Linked DNA regions of Diceros bicornis minor. The protein of the gene in region 3 purifies or fractionates together with the protein of the main gene of each other region. This does not show direct contact. Links are inferred from orthologs where the notes say so. Each region holds a gene or a part of one and is shown on either strand. Other genes may lie near its edges.

Region 1 (7,369 bases), on a different chromosome or scaffold from region 3:
AGATGTTAGCTCAGGGCCGATCCTCCTCACAAAAAAAAAAAAAAAATAGAGGAAGACTGGCAACAGATGTTAGCTCAGGGCAAGTCTTCCTCAGCAAAAAAATAAATAATGGAGGAGTCTTACTATTTAACTTTGAAAACATTAGATATGTATATATAGTAGTTTCCCCTAATCCATGGGGAATATGTTCCAAGAACATCCGGTGGATGCCTGAACCCACGGATAGTACCAAACCCTATATATACCATGTTTTTTTCCTATAATACATACCTGTGATAAAGTTTAATTAATTAATTAAGGTTTTTTTTTGTGAGGAAGATCAGCCATGAGCTAACATCCATGCTAATCCTCTCTTTGCTGAGGAAGACCGGCTCTGAGCCAACATCTATTGCCAATCTTCCTCCTCTTTTTCTCCAAAGCCCCAGTAGATAGTTGTATGTCATAGTTGCACATCCTTCTAGTTGCTGTATGTGGGACGCAGCCTCAGCATGGCTGGAGAAGCGGTGTGTCGGTGTGCGCCCGGGATCCAAACCTGGGCCGCCAGTAGCGGAGCATGCGCACTTAACTGCCAAGCCACGGGGCCGGCCCAGTTTAATTTATAAATTAGGCACAGTAAGAGATTAGCAACAATAATATTAAAGTTGGCTGTGGGGCCATTATTAAGTAAAATAAGGGTTACTTGAACACAATCACTGTGATACTGTGACAGTCAATCTGATAACCGAGATGACTACTAAGTAACTAATAGGCAGGTAGCCTATACAGCATGGATAAGCTGGACAAAGGAATGATTCACGTCCTGGGACGGACAGAGTGGGACGGTGCAAGATTTCATCATGCTACTCAGAACAGTGTGCAATTTAAAACGTGAATTGTTTATTTCTGGAATTTTCCATTTAATATTTTTGGACCGCAGTTGACTCTGAGTAACTGAAACTTTGGAAAGCAAAACCGCGGATAAGGAGGGGGACTACTGTAGAATGATCTCAATTATGTAAAATTTGTGATTTTAATTGTTTATATATTCTGTATTTTCTAAATTGAGTTTTTATCATTTTTGTATGAGTGAATCAATAAAGGGTAAAGAGTTTTATTTTTTTAAGTTTTATTTATTTATGTTTTTGTGAGGAAGATCAGCCCTGAGCTAACATCCATGCTAATCCTCCTCTTTTTGCTGAGGAAGACCGGCTCTCAGCTAACATCTGTTGCCAATCCTCCTCCTTTTTTGTGTTTCCCCAAAGCCCCAGTAGATAGTTGTATGCCTTAGCTGCACATCCTTCTAGTTGGTGTATGTGGGATGCCGCCTCAGCGTGGCCAGAGAAGTGGTGCATCGCTGTGCGCCCGGGATCCGAACCCGGGCCGCCAGTAGCGGAGCGTGCGCACTTAACAGCTAAGCCACGGGGCCGGCCCAGGGTAAAGAGTTTTAAAAACGTAGACCTTGAAAGGAGAGTAAAGAAGGCAATGCAATGTTGAACTGCTTGGGTTTGGGGGAGCCATCTGTAAGGTTCTTTATAGGTTCTGAGAGGCCCATCAGAAATAAGCAAAGTGAGTGTCAGTTCATCTCCCATTTCCTCTTTATCCCTTGTCCAGCTCTTAGAACAAGCCCTGGTGATTGAGGAACAGCTGCGCCGGGCAGCTTACCTGAACATGTCAGAGGACCCCTCTCACCCTTCCATGGCCCTAAACACCCGCTTTGCTGAGGTGGAGTGTTTGGCGGAGAGTCATCAGCACCTGTCCAAGGAGTCAATGGCAGGAAACAAGCCAGCCAATGCAGTCCTGCACAAAGGTAGCCAGTGGCTCCCCTGCCTCCTGCTGACTCAGCCTCCTTCTTCCTCTACCCCTCCCCAACACATTGGCTTCTTGTTTCCAAACCTTTTTCAGAGCCCCTTTGGGAGTTTAGCCTTCCTCCTTGGGAAGCTAATGTCTTAGAGGCAATCGAGGACAGTAGTTCTTTGCCTCTTTCAACTCTTAATATATTCAAGTTGTTGGAGGTGGAAAGCAAAGCAGAATAATATAGTGTTATCTGGGATACTTCAGAGGTAACTTCAGGTGATTTAAGATCCTGTCAAATTCTAGACCCTTTTCAACATTTTTTTTTCTGATTAAAGTTAAAACATTGTGAGAGAGGTGGAGGGTGAAGTGAGGAAAGGAAGACTGTTATAAAGGAAGAGGGAGACACCTCGAAAAGGTGGAGAAGAAAGATAGAAAAGGAAATAATAGGAATAAGCGTGTCTCAGGAAGTAGAGAAAATAGAGACAGTTGGGAGCAAGGGACAGTGAGGGTTAGGTGACTTTAAGAAGCATAGAAGCATGGCCAGTTGGAACTAGAATGTGAGGAATAGGAATTTGAGCATGGTAGAGGCCAGGTCACGTGACGCAGTGACAAAAGACAATACTTGAGCATTCCAGCACATCAGTCCCTTGGTCAATGAGAAGTGATGGGGGCCAGGGGTCCACTGGTAAGAAGGATCTTGGTCTTGACCACCACAGCTCACCACTTTTTTTTTTTCCTGTGCAGTTCTGAAACAGCTAGAAGAACTGCTGAGTGACATGAAAGCCGATGTGACTCGACTCCCAGCTACTATTGCCCGAATTCCCCCAGTTGCTGTGAGGCTACAGATGTCAGAGCGTAACATTCTTAGCCGCCTGGCAAACCGAGCACCTGAACCTACTCCACAGCAGGTAGGACCGTTTTCTTCTGGCCAGCTGTTCGAGCAGAGCCACTGTTACTTTGCTGTCTGTCCCTAGCTTTACATACTGGACAGGTGGGGCTGTGTCACCACTGAGTTCCCGTAGGATCAGGTGGATTCCTGTGGTCTGGCATTCTGACTCCCTTGGCTCTCTTTTCCTGTAGGTAGCCCAGCAGCAGTGAAGATCAGACTGATGATACCACCTCCACCGCTGAGCAGTGACCTTCCTCACTTTCCCTTGCCCAGCTTCTCACCTGGGGGCCTGAGAGACCCTCTCCTTCCTCCTGCCCCATCTTCCATGTTGTAAAGGAACAGCCCCCAGTGCACTGGGGGAGGGGAGGGAGTGAGGGGCAGTGGTGCCCTTCCTGCTGGAGAGACATGCAGCAGTAGCGCCGGCGCCATCTGCAGGGAGCTGGCGGGCTGGCCGCCTTCTGGGCCCTGGCTTCTCCCTACTGTAACGTCTGTTACACACAAACTGTTGTGGGTCCCGCCAGGCTTGAAGAAAATGATCTGAATTTCTTTCTCCTTTTGGTTTTATTTTGTTGGTTTACTTTGTGTTTCCTTTTCTCCTTTTTTGGGGTATTCAGAGTGGGCCGGGCCCCTGGGCGAGACACAGCTACCTCTGTTGGCATCTTTTTAATACCAGGAACCCAGCGGCTCCAGCCACTGAGCAGCTAGAATAAAATAAAGTGAAAAAAAAAAAAAAAGGAAAAGAACCAAAAGCGTAAAAAACCACAGCAAATTTCTTGATGAAAACTGAAAATAAAAGTTTCCTTGTATTTTAGTGCTCTGGTTCGGTGTGGGTGTAGGTTCAGGTGGATGAGTGTGCATGACAGGAGCCCTGGGAAATGTGCAGCTGAGAACCAGGGGCTACTTGTGTTCTAATAGTCCACAAGAGACCGTGTCACGTCTGCACGTGCCCGCTGTGCTCTGGACCAAGGATGACCAGCATCTGGGGGAATGAGCGGCTCCCACACCACCCGGGCTCGTGCCCTGTACTACCGGCCAACGGCTCTGTACCGTTGAGGAAGTGAACTCTGGGCTGTGGATTTCTCATGTATAAAATAAAGCTATCTTCCTCATAGAGTTGTGAAGATAAAACCAGTAAAGTGCTTGGAACAGTTTCTAACAGCTACTAAGCACTGTTAGTATTTATTTGAAGGAAGGCTGAAGTTTTATCTAGTTGTGTGAAACTAGGATGTGAGGTGTCTTCCGACCTCCAGCTGTGCACCTAGGCAGAGAGGAACCCTACCCGACGGGCAGAGCGGTGGTCTGGGTCAAAGAGGGCTTCCCAATTGAAGGGATCGGGGTGGGAGAGCGGCGTGGGATTCCAGGACTCCGAGACTGGGCGGAGCGCGGACACTGCCAAGAGGAGGGCCCCGATCTCACGCCTTGGTTTGAGGGGAGGGGCGGCTCTCAGGTTCCAGTTACTCCGATTGAAATCTGCAGTGAGGCGAAAAGCCAACGCCTTGAGGGAGGAGCAGGGAAGCGCAAAACGGTTCCGTCCCGGTTCCTTTCGCCGCCCTCTGCGACTGTGAACGGAGCGGTCCGTCTCCAAATCTTCCCCGGCCGCGCTGCCGACAGCCCCGCGCGCGTTCCGGGTTCCGCGCCCGACCAGAAGCGGCCGGAAGAGGCGGGGCCACCAGTGAAGCGAGCTCTGCGCGCCTGCGCGAAGCGTTTCCGTGGAGTGCGGCGCCCGAACGCTAGCCTCGCGGTGCACGTGGAGTGCTGCCCCGCGTACCCAGGAGGCGTCTGGGGCCTGGACCCGCCTTCGGGTGAGCCGAGGCTTCGGGTGGTTCTGGAGGAAGTCGGGGAAGGAAGGGTGACTGCACTGACCTGGACTGGGGCGTGGGGAGGGACGCAGGGTCCGGGGCTCCGCGTGGAGGGGGTTTGGTTAGGCCTCGAGGGCTGGTTGACCGGATGCGCTTTCCCACCGTAATGCGCTAAGTCTGCGGTGTGCCTTTCCCTTTCCAACACGCGCGACTCTGCTCCCATTTTTCGTTTCCCCAGTACCATGGGGCGCAAGTTGGACCCTACGAAGGAGAAGCGCGGGCCGGGCCGAAAGGCCCGGAAGCAGAAAGGTGCCGAGACTGAACTCGCCAGATTCTTGCCTGCAGGTAAGGGTCAGGCCTGCCTCCTCCCCATTCTCCAGCTTTTGTGCCATCTTTTCATCTGTATGATAACCCCGTCCGTTCTTTAGTTTTTGTTCACCTTCTGCTCAAGTGGAATTTCGTTTGTATGAGTTATTAGGAAATAGGCGTGAATGAAACACTCACTGTCATCAGCCAGAACTTAGGGAAGATGTGACAGGGACACAAGAACCCATGCAAGGAGAGGCCCGCTTTAACATTGAGGGAGTTCAGAGGAAGGGGGATCCCATGCAGTTAGAGAATTTAAAAAGATTTTGTTATGAAGTTAGGTTTTGAAAAATGGCTGACATTTTAGCAAGTGGAAGTTGGGAAGGGGACTCCAGGCCAGTCGCTGTGAGCTGCATTGTGGAGGGGATGGAGGTGGGAAAGCACAGAGCTGGTTCCCACATGGTGAGTAGGCTACTGCTTGGAACACTGGGTAAGAGAGAAGCATGGACAGGTAGTTTGTGTTGGGCATTGGACAAAAGATGCAGTTTATTGCAGTACTAACCTGTGCTAGGCACTATACCGGACTCTTTGGACACATCATATCACTTCATTCTCTTAGTTTCCTGTGGGAGAGGCACTGTTAAGGCAACGGATGTTGAGAGGTTAAATGACCTGCATATAGTTATTAAGTGACAGGGCTGAGATTTAAACCTTTTATTTCTTGGAGAATGTTTGAAAAACAGCAATCATAAAGGTAAAATCTACTGTGGCTAGTGACTGATTAAATTGAGAGTAAAGGAAAAGGCAGAAGAAAAGATAAATTTTGAGTCTGTGTTATCAGAATGGTGATGATGCTATTTATTGCAATCAGAAGTGTGGAGGTGGGGCCGGTCGGTGGCGAAGCGGTTAAGTTCCCGTGCTTTGGCAGCCCAGGGTTCGCCGGTTTGGATCCTGGGCATGGACCTAGGCACCGCTCATCAAACCATGCTGAGGCAGAGTCCCACATAGAACAACTAGAAGGATGTACAACTGTGACGTACAACTACCTATTGGGGCTTTGGGGAGAAAAAAGGAAAAAAGGAAGAAGATGGGCAATAGATGTTAGCTCAGGGCCAGCCTTCGTCAAAGAAAAAAAAAAAAGTAGTCTGGAAGGAGGCCCAATTTGGATTTGGTTGGTGAACAACCAGATGGAGATCATCTCCTTTACATCTCTTATCCAGCTCCTGGTAAAACACTGTGGAGTGAGTTGCAGTCTACTCCCTTTAATTACTGTACTTATTTCTCCCCACTTTTATTTTCTCTCCTGTTGCTCTTTTTCATTTCACCTGTAACCTCCTGTTCTGCCTCTTTTTTATGTTTTAACAGCTGGTGATGAAAATTCCAAGAGGCTGTCTAGTCGTGCTCGGAAGAGGTGAGTGAGGATGTCTAGACTTATATCGAGTCAACTGGTGCTGCTCTTCCTAAGCCACATGAATCCATGTGATCATGTTGATGGAAAGGGCTGTTTGGGGACTGTCATGTTTCCCTGTCATGAGAAATGGCAGAGCTTGGAGATATGTTCCATTTTCTCACTCCTTGTATCTTTTCAGAGCAGTCAAGAGGAAGTTGGGCTCTGCTGAAGTCCCTAAGATGAATAAGTCTTCTGGGATCAAACCATTGCCTGGAAAGCTACCAAAAGGTCAGTGAAAATAGGAGCTGGGTGCTACATGAGGAACCCTCTGGGTCCTGGGTAGAGAAGGGCCTGCTAAATGAAAGGAACAGCCAAAGGACTTTCTTGGGGGTAGAAAATACAGGCTCTATCAGTGTGTGACTGCCATCAGTCCAGAATTCTTCAAACCTTTAGGGATCTTTGCAAGAGCTGTCCAGACACCTGGTAAGAAGGGAGCCCAGTCCTTATTAAATACTGCTCAAGGCAAGAAGCGCCCAGCACCAACCCATAGCAGTGAGGAGGAAGAGGAGGAGGAAGACTCTGAAGAGGATGGTGTGGTGAACCAGGGGGACCTCTGGGGCTCCGAGGACAGCGACGCTGATATGATAGATGACTGTGGAGCTGACTCCAACTCAGAGGATGACAATGAGGATGAAGGTGAAGAGGTGAGATTTATCTGTTCAGGAAGGAAGCCTTGCCTTTTAGTCTTTCCAGATCCTTGAGACTATGCCTCAGTGACAAGGATAAGCCTGAGTAGAGAAGATATTTTAGTGTTCCATCACTGCTTTCCTATCATCTTATGGCCTCTCAGTGTACATGCAAGTTTAAAAGAGCTGTAGAATAGAGCATTTTAAAATATGAGAATGCTCAGTGCTGGTGAGGATGTGGTAAGGTGGACACTTGTATGCCCCACTGATGGGAATAGAAATGCACACACGTGTTTTATAAAGCATTTGGCGTCTGAGGACCTTGAAAAGTTTCTTCTTTTTAACCTAGTAATTCTTTTTTTTTTTTTTTTTTAATGAGGAAGATCAGCCCTGAGCTAACATCTATTGCCAATCCTCCTCCTCCTTTTTTTTTCCCCCCTCTTCTCCCCAAAGCCGCAGTAGATAGTTGTGTGTCATAGCTGCACATCCTTCTAGTTGCTGTATGTGGGACGCCACTTCAGCATGG
Region 2 (7,237 bases), on a different chromosome or scaffold from region 3:
CCTCTAGTGTATCAAGACCATAGCTATAACTCTGCCTCTTCCCCCATGGTGTAATTCGGGGAACTGAGATGTTTCACTCTACAGAGAATCTTTCCACTCCTGAAATCAGAATGGACTACTCATTCAATAATCCTTGCACAACAGAACTTTAATATTAATTTAATATTTACTAGGTTCCTACAGGAGCCAGGCACTGTCCTTATGTGGGAAGATAGTCAACAAACAAGCAAATCAATACAGACATGGAGGCATGAACAGCATGAAACCTTTATTTAGACAACCACAACATGTCTGTCACATAGGACATAAGTGGCAAAATATCATGTGATGACGCAAGGAAGGAAACTTTTAAAAGTCTCCATTTTATCTTATGTTATAGACAAAATTTAGATTCCTTATCTAAAGAAGCAGCAAGCTAAAAATAGCTCTTGGTTCTAATGAAATAACACCACCTATGGAAAAATTAACTCCTTTTATATAAGGTAAGCAGAGAGACACAATAGCTTCATAAAAAGCCTCCAGGTAGCAAGCCAAACAATCCTGACCCCTTTAAACTCTCAGTAGTATTCACTGACCATGGCTGCCACCCAGAAATGCTCTCCTTGACTTCCTTCCTTTTTGGTTTTTCTTCTTCAATCTCTCCAATTCCTCCTTCTGACTCTAAAGATTCTTTCTGAGCCTTCTTTTATTTCTGTTCTCTCCAGGACAGTTCTCACAATCATTTCCATAGCTTCAAATAACTCTACAGAAAGGTAAGGAACTCCCTCCAGCACTAATAATCCAAGTATTTGACTTAACACCTCAAATTCAATTCTAGAATACCAAACCTTAAATCCAGTAAATTTGTTTACTATTTCTTTTTCTGAAGATGTTACCCTCATTTCCTCATTTCAGGCCCCCAGGCGTTGAATCTTTCATTTGCCCTTGTTCTCCCATATCATTGTGTCAATGTGTCAATTTCTCTTTGCAAGAACTCTTTTTTTTTTTTTTTGGTGAGGAAGATCAGCCCTGAGCTAACATCTGATAATCCTCCTTTTTGCTGAGGAAGACTGGCTCTGGGCTAACGTCTGTGCCCATCTTCCTCCACTTTATATGGGACGCCACCACAGCATAGCTTGCCAAGCGGTGCGTCGCTGCGCGCCCGGGATCCGGGCCAGCGAACCCCGGGCCCCCACAGCAGAGCGCGCACACTTAACCGCCTGCGCCACCTGGCCGGCCCCTCTTTGCAACAACTCTTAATCCTTTCATACTCGCAGTGCCCTCCCTCAGATCCATATAATCTTAAATCTCCTAAATAGCTAGCCTTCCCAAACAGGAACTCCTCCAATAGATATGGCAGACTAGCACCAGCTTAATCTTTTTACAGCACTGCTCCAATCACATCCTTAACCTGCCAGGGTTTTCTAAACAAACTCCAAAATGACATAGCTTTAACAATGGATTCTAAAATACATTTATGTTTTTACCTCGCCATTGCCCCAAATCAACCCTACACTTGAGCCAATCTGGCTCTATTTTTTAGATTGTCAGCACTTCCTCCACTCCAACACATTCTACTCGTTTTTTTTCCCTCTCCCTTGTATTGTTCTCTCTCATTTCTGAATATCGAAATTCTGCCCTTACTTTGAGATCCAGTTCAAAGGGTAAATCCCTCATGATCCCTTACCTGATTATTCTAGGGTAAAAGTAATCTCCATCTTCTGCACTTCCATAGAATTTCTCATATTAAGACTCAAATCATGGATACTATCATATTTCTTTCTAACTCCTTATGGGAAGAGTGAGAGCACTAACACTTACTGAAAATTTACTAGAAGTCCAGCTTCTTCTTCACAAAAAGTAAATCACGTTTTTCTCTTAATTTGCAGATGAGAAAAGAGCTCGAAATATCACTGTTAATTAACAGCAGGGCTAGAATTTAAACTCATCTTTCAATCCTCAGAACTGGCTCCTTTCCTAGTGCTTGCCACCACACCACACAGGGTCATTGATTTACCATCTACTATGTGCTACAGTACTATGCCAAGCGCGGGGCACACAGAAATTAACAAATTAAGGTCATCCTTGTCTCCACCGTATTCGATCTAGCTTAAGGTGCTTTCAGTTGAATGAAACTTAGGTACAGTAACTTGCGTCCACCTTCTCTTGAATAAAAACCATCGACTTATGTGAATTCTTAGCTTCCTTCTAAACTCCGACATTTCAGAAGGAAAAGGTGACGTTCTAGTTTGCAATCCCAGAGCCAGAGCAAACCTAACTTCGTATAGTGCCTGGCACATTAAAAGTTTGTTGACTACAACGAGAGCTCGTGCTATCTAGTCTAGCTTTCATTATCACTTGAGAGTTAAAGACCTGCTCAAACAAGCCGAAGTCACTGTCCCAAGGACAGCAACTTTTTAAAGAACCGCCTAACAAAGCTTCAAGATCCCTGACTGACGATACTAATCACTGGAAGAAATATATCCAATAGCGAGAAATAACTTTAAGGAAAAGTAATGCCCTCAAAAGGAAAAAAAAAGGTAACTAGAAGACAGAACACTGGAACTGAGTACCCCCTACGTTGCTTCCCTGTGAGCCGATAAGCGCTCTGAAGCCCGCCCCGTTGCTCAGCCAGCCGCCTCCAGGAAAGCGGCCACGTGCACGAAGATTGGATGTAAACGCGGGGGCCAATCCAACTAGGAGAACTGAGACCGAGCTCCCTAACACTGAGGCAACTCCGAAATCAGCAGAGCCGTAATCAGGCATGGGGCCCCAGGCAAGGCGCGTGGAGCCGCGGCCGCAGGTGTAACCCGAGGGTGGCCCTCTCTACCTTGCAAACGGGGCCTGGGAAACGGTCTCTGTCTTCCTCCTCCGTCTCCTCTGCCATATCGCGCCGCTTAGCTGGCGGCGTGGCATCTTTTTCGTTTCTTTTTGGCTTCTTCGCCTGAACCGCCAGGCCTCCACGCCGCTTCCTCTTGGCCGCCGCCATCTTGCCTCAAGCCCTTCTCTCCGGGCCTTCCTTCCGGCTCTGCCGCTCGCTCCCCTTCCCGATCTCTATGGCACCGTACGCTCGGCTCTGCGGTCGTCCTTCAGCTCTATGGTGTCTCTTTCCGGTCTCTGTGGTGCTGTACGCTCGGCTCTCTAGGCCTCGTCTAGCTCTATGGTGACGGTGGCCGAGGTGGCTGGCCGATCTGAAAAGAGTGGCGGGAGGCGCTGCACTTCCTCCTGGGTTTCCCGGGAGCTCGGTTTCTCGGTGACCTGGCCCGGAAGGGCTTTCAGGCATCCAGACTCCACCGCAAAGGTAGGGTCTCCGTGCCCCGGGATCCCGGGACCAGTAAACATGCCGCCTTGCAGCGGGCTCTTGAGCAGGGTTGTCTGGGACTCAAGGAGGATCTTCTGTGTAATCGGGGCCCGCCCCCCCATCGCGTATTCTGTTAGAGGCGAGGTTGGGGGCGCCGGACAGCTCAAAACCGACTCGGGGGGATACGTAGCCCCAGTTTGGCGTGGCGAAACTGGCCCCAAGTAGAACTACCGTATTAGTTGCCTATTTCCATTGTTCACAACTTTTCATGTGTTATTGTCCCCTTACTAAAGACGAGGACACTGTAGCTTAGAGAGATAAGTAACTTGCCCCAAAGTTAACAGGGGCAGTTAGGTGGCAGAGGTGGGGTTCAATCTCTGGTCGGCCGAGTTCAACGTTCAGACCTCTCCCACTTGGCCTCAGCGCAGGTTGCAATCGCGGGCCTCGCCAGCCTTCATGGGGGTTTTATTGTCGAATCTCATCAGGTGTTTCGTGATCTGCGGGAGCAGGTGTTGGCACCAGGAGCATCCCTCGGGCCCGAATGTACAGTGGACGATGCCCCTCCTAACGCAACAGATCCAAGATGAGAATGACTACAGCTTAGTGGCCAGCCTTGACAACGTTAGGAATCTCTCCACTATCTTGAAGGCTATTCATTTCCGGGACCATGCCACCTGTTTCGCTACTAAAAATGGAATCAAGGTTACAGTGGAAAATGCAAAGTGTGTGCAAGCAAATGCTTTTATTCAGGTATGGAAGGAGGCACCTGTAAGCCTGTGACATATGATATTCTTCACCCAGTTTAATGAATTCCAAAGGTCTTACTGGACATCATTTAAGTTAGAGAACAATATATCATTTGAATCTTTTTCTCTCCTGGTAACAAATTCATTTCCCATCCTGTTTTACAGAGATAATGGTTATTATGTCTAAAATGTATTAAGCTAAACTATAGGCCAGGCACCCTTCTGAGTGTTTTATATGTTTAACTCATTTAATTCTCAATAATAGTCCTATGAGGTAGGTTCCGTTATAATTCCCATTTTGCATATGTGGAAACTTAGGCACAGATTAAATGATTTGCCAACAGTCTCACAGCTAGCAAGTGACTGGGTTGGGATGAGAACCCAGAACATTTGTTTCCAGAGTATATACTCTTTAGCACTACCTCCCTATTATCAAAAAATTTTTCCTTTTATTGGTTATAATACAATCTGTTCTTACAAACAAAGATTTGTATGGTTCAGATGGATTTCAGATTTAATTCAGCATTTTTTTGAATACTTAAGTGCACAGTATGACCTTGGGTATAGAGGGATAAATAAGATATGGTTCCTGTCCTTAAAAGAAATTGAAAACTAATATCACTCATGCGTTATCAAATTGTTTGGCTATTTACCAAGTGACCTTAGCCATACTGATGGGCACAAAAAGGAGAGTCATGTGGGCAATGGTTGAGATCCGAGAAGCTAGGTGAAGGACCCCTCATAAAGTTTTACATGAGACCTAAACCACTGTTACATCTCTAACTATTGAGTAGTAGTACATATTCTAATGGATAATGGTTGAAAAGGCTTAAGATGTTTTGACTGGTAATCAGAAATGACTTTCACAGGGTTAGCACAATATTGTTATTTTTAAAACATATCAAGTGAAATCTAGAACTTTGAGTTTTCATTCTTTAATATCTATAACTACATTTTCATGTTTCCTTTTTTTCATAGGCTGGAATATTTCAAGAGTTTACGGTTCAGGAAGAGTCTGTTACTTTTCGAATTAATTTAACTGTCCTTTTAGACTGCTTATCTATTTTTGGATCAAATCCTACGCCAGGTGAACCATTTTATTATCATTATAATGATATAAAAGCATTATACAGAATGGTCAGAAAAATACAGGAAAAGTTATTGGAAATAAGTAATCTAAACAATTGTTTAGAAAATTGTCAATTCATTTTTCATTGGTCAAAATCACGGATTCTGACTTTTCACAATGTTAGTAGAAAGTGTGCTTGTGGCTCTTTTCATATTTGCAAAAATATTTACATTCATCTTTTTTTAATTTACAAAGCTTTTGGGATTTTTAAATTTAAACTGACCAAAAGAAGACTTTGAACATGTAAATATCTTTAAGAATGTGAAATATGTTTTAAATTGCTTCTTTTTCCTGACTTGTCCAGAATTACACAGTTAGTGACAGAGAAAAATTGAAACCAGTTCTCCTGACTTGCAGTTTACTGTGTTCAAAATTTGTTTGCTTTTTTTTTAAGCCCTGTTTATAAATTATAGGTATTTTCCTAAATGCTTTCCTTTAAAATATTTATATATTTGTTTAGGGATTTTTTTGAATAGTGAATTCAGTTGCTATTGATATAAAACTACAAGGAATCCCCAGGAGAGTGATTTTACTTCATAGGAAAGAAAGCTGGAAATTAGCTAGGGAAAATTCAGTTTTTGTTCTCTAGAAAATATTACGATTCCATTCTTATTAATTATACATTTTCTAATGCAGTGTTCCCCAACTAGTTTTTCATAAAAGCATCTTTCTTCCCCCATTCGTCACTGTAGCTCTCCATCCAGGAAGGGAAAAGATCTAGACTATCCTGTCATATTCCTCCTCCTCTCTAGTGGTCTGCAATGTTAAAACCCACACCACCCTTAATCACCCTCTCTTTTTCTCCCAATTTGATCTTAAAATTTGAGGAAATGTAAAGAATATCTTCCAATAGAAAAGGTTGGAAGGATCCTTATCATGGTGAATATACTGACATTAAAGTACAGACAATATCAGAGCAATCGACTGTTGCACAAATTGAGCCTTCCAGAAGTAGCATAGCCTATTCTGCACCAATTCCATTACTTGCAGTAATGGTCCATGTAGATTGTTTATCCTAAATTGTATATATATAAAATCAATAAGCTATTTCTGAGGTGTTTTTGGCAAGCTGGAAAATGATTTCAAAGATTACATTTTGTTTTGGTTCCCAATTTTCTTGCAGTTATTTTTGGAATTATCTACACACGGTGTCATCAGGGAAGATGTGACCCTTCTTATAAGGAGATACATACGTATATGCTAGAAATTGGGCAGAATAAAATATTCTGGAGGACTTTTATATATCGTTTGAGGAGAAGGTGAACCCAGAGCTGTAAAGTTAAGCCCAGAGTATGATTTATTTCCATCGCAGGGACTTTTACTGCACTTCGGATGTGTTACCAAGGTTATGGTTACCCTTTGATGCTATTTCTGGAGGAAGGAGGAGTGGTGACAGTCTGTAAAATCAATACTCAGGAGCCTGAAGAGACTCTGGATTTTGATTTCTGCAGCACTAATGTCATCAATAAAGTTATCCTGCAGTCAGAGGGGCTCCGTGAAGCATTTTCCGAATTGGATATGACGAGTGAGGTCCTGCAGATCACCATGTCTCCTGACAAGCCTTATTTCAGGTAATTTGAACGCAGAGCAATTATAGTTAATGTACTACTTACACATTTGCTTAGGATGCGGAACTTTTATTATCCAGGTTCCTGGAATTTTCAGAACATTAGAGAGCTTTTACTCTTACCTCCTACTTTTACAGATCAGGAAACTTAGGACCCAGGAAGATTAACTCACTATTTAAAGCTTCATCATCAGGTAGTGTAGATGAGTAGCCCAGGCTCCTGATTCAGAAACCAGTGGTCTTTTCATTGTTGTATTACTTACTATTGTAGATCAGGTTATGTCATGAGGAAAACTGGGCTTAAACTTTTGGAAAAGTTGTTTGTATTATGTGGTATGTATCTCTTTTTCTTTTTCTTTTTCTTTTTCTTTTTCTTTTTTGTGAGGAAGATCAGCCCTGTGCTAATATCCGATGCCAATCCTCCCTTTTGTTTAATGCTGAGGAAGATTGGCCCTGGACTAACATCCATGCCCATCTTCCTCTACTTTATATGGCATGCCGCCACAGCATGGCTT
Region 3 (7,123 bases):
GTCTCTTAATTGCTCTTTCACCTTTTTACCTCTCTTTGTTGCATTCTGGATAAATTATTTCATTATATCTTCCAGTTCACTAATATTCTCTTCAGCCTTGCCTAATTTGCTAATGAGTCATTGCATTTCTTCTAAATTTCAACAATGAGTTTTTTATTTCTACAAGTATCATATCTGTTCATTTCTGCCCTGCTCCCCTGACCATGGCACAGATGAAGCTGCATGCCTCGAAAACAGACACTGACAATCTTTTTCTGTAAAGGGTCTAGTAAATATTTTAGACTGTTATTTACTCTGTCACATATTATTTTTCTACAACCCTTTAAAAATGTAGAAATCATTCTTAGCTCTTGGGCCCTACAAAAATAAGCCACAGGCCAGATTTGGCCCATGGGTCACAGTTTGCTGACCACTGCTGTAGAGGTCCCACACTCCACCCAATGCAATGGTCAATACAGCATAGTATTCATGAGGGAAGTGTGAGATCAAAAGTCCCTCTGGTAATGAGCCTGGTCCTCCCAGCCTATATATGGCAGGCAGGTGATCACAAAGATTATGTATGCACCATTGAGGCACACCATGTATGCCTCAATGAGGAAACACATGGGTGCCACATGGCATGGAACCAGTAGACACCTGAAGTAAGGAGACTGAGATGTCAGTGATTTTGAGCATCTGGCTGAGATCAGCAAGTCTGAGGATACAGTGCACAGGCCTAGGGACCAGTCCAAAGCAGCCATGTTACAGCAGAGATTAATGGGGTCCCAGACACAGCACTAGAACCTGAGCACAAAGACCCGAGATATCCCCCCGCCCCTTCCCCCTACAACTAGGCTGTGAGAGCGCTCTCACATAAACCCTGGTGCCATTTTGAAAAGAGCAGAAGAAGACAGAGGAAATCTAAAAGACTTAGCAACATTGTTTAAAACAGAAACAACTGAGATACCAATAACTGTCAAGTTTACACACTGAGTATATTTTCCAGGTTCCAACATTAAATCAGGGTGACAGTAAACTGTCGATCTACTGCCACTGGAAATTGAAAAGTGGAATGCACAACTGTTTTACCATGTGAAACTAAGCTGTGTTTAGAGACGATCTGCCTACATGTGTAAGTTAATGGCTAAAGTGATAGAAATGAATCAGGGTAGCTGGGTGTATCAAATTGGGGTTCTAGTAGGTTCTATGGGAGGTGATAGGAGAACTGGAACGAAACCGAGAATAGGTAAAATGAAATGTTGTTGTGCTACTTATTGATAAAGGGGACAAAAGAACAAGATGAAAGACCACTAACATTTGTTGAGTTCCTACTACATGCCAGGTACCACACCTGTGTCACACCTGGTAGATGTTCAATAAAATGTTTGTTGCAGAGATGAAGAATCCTCACTCTTCATTCTGCAGAAGAAATGAAAGCTCAGGAAGATTAGGTGATTAACTTAAGGTCACCTGAACCCAGGTTTGCTGACTCTGATTCATGTTTACCACTGCTTAACAAATCATCCTGAAATTTAGTGACTTAAAACCACAATATTTATATTTCTCACAATGCTGTGGGTAGATGGGGCTCAACTAGGTGGTTCTTCTGCTAGTCTTATTTGGGGTCACTCATGTGGCTGTAGTCCGATGGTGGCAAGGGCTGGAACACACAAAATGCCTTTACCCAGGTCTTCTTTCTTGACAGGGACAGCTGGAAAGCCGGACCTCTCCATCAAGTCTCAGGGCCTTTCCTTCTCTATGTGGTCTGTCCAGCAGAGTAGCTGAACTTCTTATAAGGCAACTCGAGGGCTCCCAAGAATGCAAAAGGCTGAGGCCTGGAAATGGCACAGAATCACTTCTGTCGCGTTCTATTGGCAAAAAAGAGTCACAGGCCCAGCCCAGTTCATTGTGGGAGGAGACTATACAAGGACCTAATACCAGGAGGAAGGGGTCATTGGTGGTCATCTTTGGAGACTAGCTACCGCAGGTGATCCTGGGACACCAAGCCCTTAATCTTCCCATTACTTCATGCCACGATGAACACCCACAAATAGAACATGACTAGATACTCTGCCTTAGAGAGATCATTCTGGCAGTGGAGAGAAAGGTGTTTTGGAGAAGGGGAAACCAAAGGTTTTGCAAAAGTCCTGAATTAGGTAGGATGGTGGTGGTGGTGGTGGTCAAGACCTGAACCTAGGCAGGAAAAGTGAACCTAGCAAATAGGCCAAAAAGAAGGAAGATATGGTCTCTAACACGACGCACTACAGATGGCCCATTCTGGGCAGGCAGGATTATGAAGTATCGGGGAGACAGTTTAGTCAAGAGATGGAGGTGAGGAAGCCAAAGGAATATTTTTAGTGTTTACACCATGTCCCTATCTAATCATAAGTGTTTGTATCTCACTAACTGAAGTGCACTTTTCTTCGGCCACCCCTCTAAGCTAGCAAACTGCTTCAGCACAGCTCCTTTATAACCAGAAGACTCAAATCTACTCAAAGTACCACTGTGGTGACTCTCAGGCTTTTTGTATTTAATCCACAAAAATCTGCATTTACATAATTTACTTATATACTACATATATTTGTATCCATATTTCTCCATGTATACATGTGTATATTTATACATACATGTATACATATGTAAGTTTGGCTGAGACAAAAGTTTCACAAATCAATACCCCTCCTCACTCTATGTGACATATTATTATTTCCTATTCTCTTTCATCCTATGTTTTTAATGCCAGCCAAGAATGTCTAAAGTCACTCTACAAGCCATTAATAGACTCCAACTTCTCCTTTGAAAACTGCTATCTTAGTAGATAAGCCCCTGTAATCCCAGGAATATTTAAGATTAAGTATAGAAATAATGAAGTAAATCAAAGTCACAGCATTAATATTTTCCATTACATTTTGGAATCACCTAATTTGGTATTTATAAAACAGAATTTAACATACTGATGTATATAATAGATTAGTTTTGCAATTCAATTTTAAAATGTGGAGTAACTGATTCAGACTCAAGGTTATAAGTGGATATATGTAACAGAATGTAACCACATTTGTAAGCAATACTCAGATTATGCGTTTAAGATTTACCAACCATCTTTTTTAAGATATTATGTTTTAAAAGTGAGCTCAGTACTTGGATTTTGTTTGTCAAGTAACTTAATTGCTTAAGAAAATAAAATATATTAAATTTATAAATGCACTTCAGTTATGGGAATTTAAGTTTAAAACCACCCCCTTAAAATGACTTTAATTTACCAGCATGTATACTACTTTAGGATAACCAAGTTTTGGATTTGCAAAGGTAATTTCAAAATAGTCGCCTGAGTGCCCAAAAGCCTCCCTCTAGGACATGGAAGCAGCTCCGATCCATTCGGAGCCAACTGGGTGTTAAGAGGCGAGCAACACGTGGCCCCGCAAAGGAGCTGGGTTCTGCTGAAGCAGGGGAACGAGAAACCGACCTGGGAGGAGGCGGGATCGTCTTCCTTTTCTACTTTGTCTCCGGCCACCCTCAGTTTTAAAAATAAGTAAAATACAATGTAACAGTACGAAGCCAGCCACCAAGAGTCACGATTCCTCAGGGTCTGCGCCAGAGCGCCCCAGGCTCCGCTTCCGTCCCAGAGAGGAAGAAAAAGCGCGCGGCCACAGGGCTCCTGGGAGGGTCGTCCCCGACTGGGAAGCGGGGACAAAGGGGTTCCGGGAGCGTGGGGAGGATGGAGGGGTCTGGGGCCCCAGGTCACAGCTCTGCGGAAAGCCGGGTGGGCAACAGTTTCTGCCGGGGGATGGTCGCCGCGGCCAGCGCGGGGCCTCCCGCCCGGGTGTCACCGAGCTCTGCTGCCCGTAATTTATATGACGAAAACATGAGGGATTGGACTATTATTCAGAAAAGCGCCTTTCCAAACCATTCTGCGGCCTGCAGGAAGAGACCAGTCCCGCGCGTCCCCGGTAAGCGCGCCCACGCCGCAGCAGAGGCCGGAAGAGGCCAGCCCGCGCGCCCGCCACCCCCGCTCCGGGCCATACCACCCCGGCGGATTCCCCCTCCGAAGGCCCGGAAAGGTATCGCCCCCGGCCTCTGATTGGCCGACGGCGCGGGGGCGTGGCCTACGGAGCCTGGTTCCGCGCGCCAGAGCCCGCTCGCCGCATTGCGAGCCGGGCCAGGAGCAGGCGCCATGGTGAGGAGTGGTTGCGCGTTTTGGGGGAGGCGAAGGCCGCGGTGCGGGCCTGGTTGCGGGCCAGGGCCGGGTCCTACCCTGCGAGCGGGGCCAGGTGAACGGGGAGGCCGCGCTGACGCTCGCGCCCCGGCTCCGGTTCCAGGTACTGCTGCACGTGCTGTTCGAGCACGCGGTCGGCTACGCGCTGCTGGCACTGAAGGAGGTGGAGGAGATCAGCCTGCTGTTGCCGCAGGTGGGTGAAGTGGGGGCCTCGCCGTCCGCGCTGCAGCCCCTCCGGCCGCGGGTACCCCAGCATGCACCGCGCGCTCCCACGTGGCTGGCCGCGCGTTGTGGGTGCTCTGGGCCAGACAACTCCAGAGCAGGGGGTAGTTAGCTGCAGTCGTGATTAGAATCTCGTTAGGAGCGCTTAGAAGTAAGTCTCCCCAACTCCACTCCGTACCGATGAAGCAGAACCGGGACTTAGGGCCCATGATCGGTTCATTTTTAAAGAGTTCCGTTGGTTCTGATGTGCGTTCAAGGCTGAGAACCGCTGCTTTACTGCGCCCTAGAGGCAACAGCGAGGGAAGGAGACCATTCATCCTTTCTCCCCCCAGGTGGAGGAGTGCGTGCTCAACTTGGGCAAGTTCCACAACATCGTTCGTCTCGTGGCCTTTTGTCCCTTTGCCTCATCCCAGGTTGCCTTGGAAAATGCCAACGCTGTGTCTGAAGGTGAGTAGGCCACCACCAAGTATTGTTTCGGAGATAAAGTCAAGATAAGGGATCCTGCTACTGTTTTCCTAGGGGAGCTTGTGATGATATTTGCTTTCCTTGGCTGGATTGTTCTAAATCTGACATGTGCTGGGCGGTATTTAATGTGTACAGAATGTATTTGAATCTTCACAGAGCTCAAGGTCTGGGGAATATGGTAGGCTAAATGTAATAATTAAAGCGCACAATCCAGGGTGAAGGCTTTATTTCCCTGTGGGCGCTGTAGTGATAAATGATACTTAAATGAAATCTGGTAAGTGAGGCTGGTTTAATGCTAAACCCAATCAACTGTGGTTTTCTGCTACTTTGTTCAGTTGATTGGAAAGGGCAATTCTGATACATAAAAGCCAAGAAAAAGAGGTTGGTCCCAGAAGGCAAATCAGGTATTACTTTCATAGTGCTCCAGGGTGTTTTAAGCTTTCAGTTATGTATTTCACTGAGCTGTTGAACCTGAGTCCTGTTCCTCCCATAGTTGATGAAGGCTTTGCAGTGATGACTTGAGTCTGTCAATCCCCTGAGTGCAATCACTGATGTCTCCATGTCTCTGAGCAAAGCCTGAAGGGGAGGGGTCTAGGCAGGCCATCCCAGCATGCTCTGGGAGACTACTGTAGGATCAGTCTGTCACTTAAATCAATTGAGGGGACAGGATCCCTTTTATGATTCAAGCATCCTTCAGCTTGGTAGTGGGAGCTCTGTTCTTTGCCCTGAGGTGTTGTTCATGAGGATCTCCGCCTGCTCTTGGAGACTCACCTACCATCCAAAAAGAAGAAAGTTCTCTTGGGGGTTGGGGACCCCAAGATTGGTGCTGCTATACAAGAAGAGTTAGGATACAACTGCCAGACTGGAGGCGTGATAGCCGAGATCCTGCGAGGTGAGACCGTCATCTGTTAGCATTCATGCCATTGTTCACATCTTTGAGGGGGGTTCTGGAAATTTATTTTAGGGTGCTTATGGTTGCTTCTGGGAAGCCCTCCTGCTTGGCTGGTGCCCGTGGGTGCAGAAGCTAGCTGAGAGCCCTTTTTTGCTCACAGTCTTGCCCTCCTCCAGGAGTTCGTCTGCACTTCCACAACCTGGTGAAGGGTCTGACTGATGTGTCTGCTTGTAAAGCCCAGCTGGGCCTGGGACACAGCTATTCTCGTGCCAAAGTTAAGTTTAATGTGAACCGGGTGGACAATATGATTATCCAGTCCATTAGTCTCCTGGACCAATTGGATAAGGACATCAATACCTTCTCCATGCGTGTCAGGTAAAGTGCAGGGGCACCTCCTGAGAATGGGGTCTTTGGCTTGTGGTTTAGCTAATTTGGAATCCTGAGATCAGGACTGGCTCCTGTGGGTGTAACCATGTGGGGTGGGGCTGGGCCTCCTGATGCTTACCACAGGCTGTGTTCTTACACTGACTGTATAGAAAGAGGAGGCAGAGTGAACCCACCCCATATACACCTCAGCCCAGGCCCTTTGCTTGGTCTGTATTGTGAATGGGGGGACAAGGAGTTGAGGTTTTGAATCTTGACTTCTTCCCCATTTCCTCCAGGCAAAGAGTAGATGTGGAGAGGGCTAAGGCTGTAGCTTTATTTGAGATGGCAGCTGAGCCAGGGAGTGATTGTGGTTCTCTGCAGGGAGTGGTATGGGTATCACTTTCCTGAGCTGGTGAAGATCATCAATGACAATGCTACGTACTGCCGCCTTGCTCAGTTCATTGGAAACCGAAGGGAGTTGAATGAAGAAAAGCTGGAGAAGCTGGAGGAGCTGACAATGGATGGGGCCAAAGCTAAGGCTATTCTGGATGCCTCACGGTCCTCCATGGGTCAGTATAGGGTCTGGCAGCCAAAATAAGGTATGGGGCTCTGAGTATCTGACTCCTGCATTCACACTTGGTGTCCCTTAGGCATGGACATATCGGCCATTGACTTGATAAACATCGAGAGCTTCTCCAGTCGTGTGGTGTCTTTGTCAGAGTACCGCCAGAGCCTACACACTTACCTGCGATCCAAGATGAGCCAAGTAGCCCCCAGCCTGTCAGCCCTCATTGGGGAAGCGGTGCGTCACGGGGAATGCAAAAATGGGGGATTGAGGAATATTACCGTGTATATCCAAACCTGCTGTATTTCCTGACCCACCATAACTTCCCCTGATTGCACTTGATGGGAAGAGGTGAAGCAGGGTTATGCAGTTGGTGGGCTGGCAATTCTAGCTTCTCTAATTCCTTGAATCCTTCTCC

Evidence for each region. The genes of interacting proteins can lie anywhere in the genome.
Region 1: the proteins of NOP56 (region 3) and NOP2 fractionate together in Homo sapiens (co-fractionation; 3 studies listed by BioGRID and IntAct, with this or other methods). This does not show direct contact. The link is inferred for Diceros bicornis minor from reciprocal best matches to the Homo sapiens genes NOP56 and NOP2.
Region 2: the proteins of NOP56 (region 3) and BRIX1 purify together in Homo sapiens (affinity purification with mass spectrometry; 3 studies listed by BioGRID and IntAct, with this or other methods). This does not show direct contact. The link is inferred for Diceros bicornis minor from reciprocal best matches to the Homo sapiens genes NOP56 and BRIX1.

Annotation. Positions count from the first base shown.
Region 1 is NC_080756.1:55,119,301-55,126,669, forward strand, and holds the start of NOP2 (probable 28S rRNA (cytosine(4447)-C(5))-methyltransferase), read left to right. Parts: upstream 1-4,358; 5' UTR 4,359-4,464; intron 4,465-4,699; 5' UTR 4,700-4,703; coding exon 4,704-4,806; intron 4,807-6,132; coding exon 6,133-6,178; intron 6,179-6,356; coding exon 6,357-6,445; intron 6,446-6,610; coding exon 6,611-6,861; intron 6,862-7,369. Other genes in the region: CHD4 (chromodomain-helicase-DNA-binding protein 4), read left to right, coding at 1,591-1,786, 2,518-2,681, 2,854-2,871. UniProt on the Homo sapiens protein: S-adenosyl-L-methionine-dependent methyltransferase that specifically methylates the C(5) position of cytosine 4447 in 28S rRNA. Required for efficient rRNA processing and 60S ribosomal subunit biogenesis.
Region 2 is NC_080759.1:34,114,026-34,121,262, forward strand, and holds the start of BRIX1 (ribosome biogenesis protein BRX1 homolog), read right to left. Parts: upstream 3,012-7,237; 5' UTR 2,969-3,011; coding exon 2,810-2,968; intron 2,783-2,809; exon of another isoform or gene 2,693-2,782; intron 1-2,692. Other genes in the region: cell cycle checkpoint protein RAD1, read left to right, coding at 3,836-4,030, 5,005-5,113, 6,468-6,726. UniProt on the Homo sapiens protein: Required for biogenesis of the 60S ribosomal subunit.
Region 3 is NC_080758.1:31,200,176-31,207,298, forward strand, and holds the start of NOP56 (nucleolar protein 56), read left to right. Parts: upstream 1-4,113; 5' UTR 4,114-4,153; coding exon 4,154-4,156; intron 4,157-4,298; coding exon 4,299-4,388; intron 4,389-4,749; coding exon 4,750-4,864; intron 4,865-5,387; exon of another isoform or gene 5,388-5,455; intron 5,456-5,612; coding exon 5,613-5,774; intron 5,775-5,950; coding exon 5,951-6,149; intron 6,150-6,262; exon of another isoform or gene 6,263-6,394; intron 6,395-6,521; coding exon 6,522-6,709; intron 6,710-6,790; coding exon 6,791-6,942; intron 6,943-7,123. UniProt on the Homo sapiens protein: Involved in the early to middle stages of 60S ribosomal subunit biogenesis. Required for the biogenesis of box C/D snoRNAs such U3, U8 and U14 snoRNAs. Part of the small subunit (SSU) processome, first precursor of the small eukaryotic ribosomal subunit.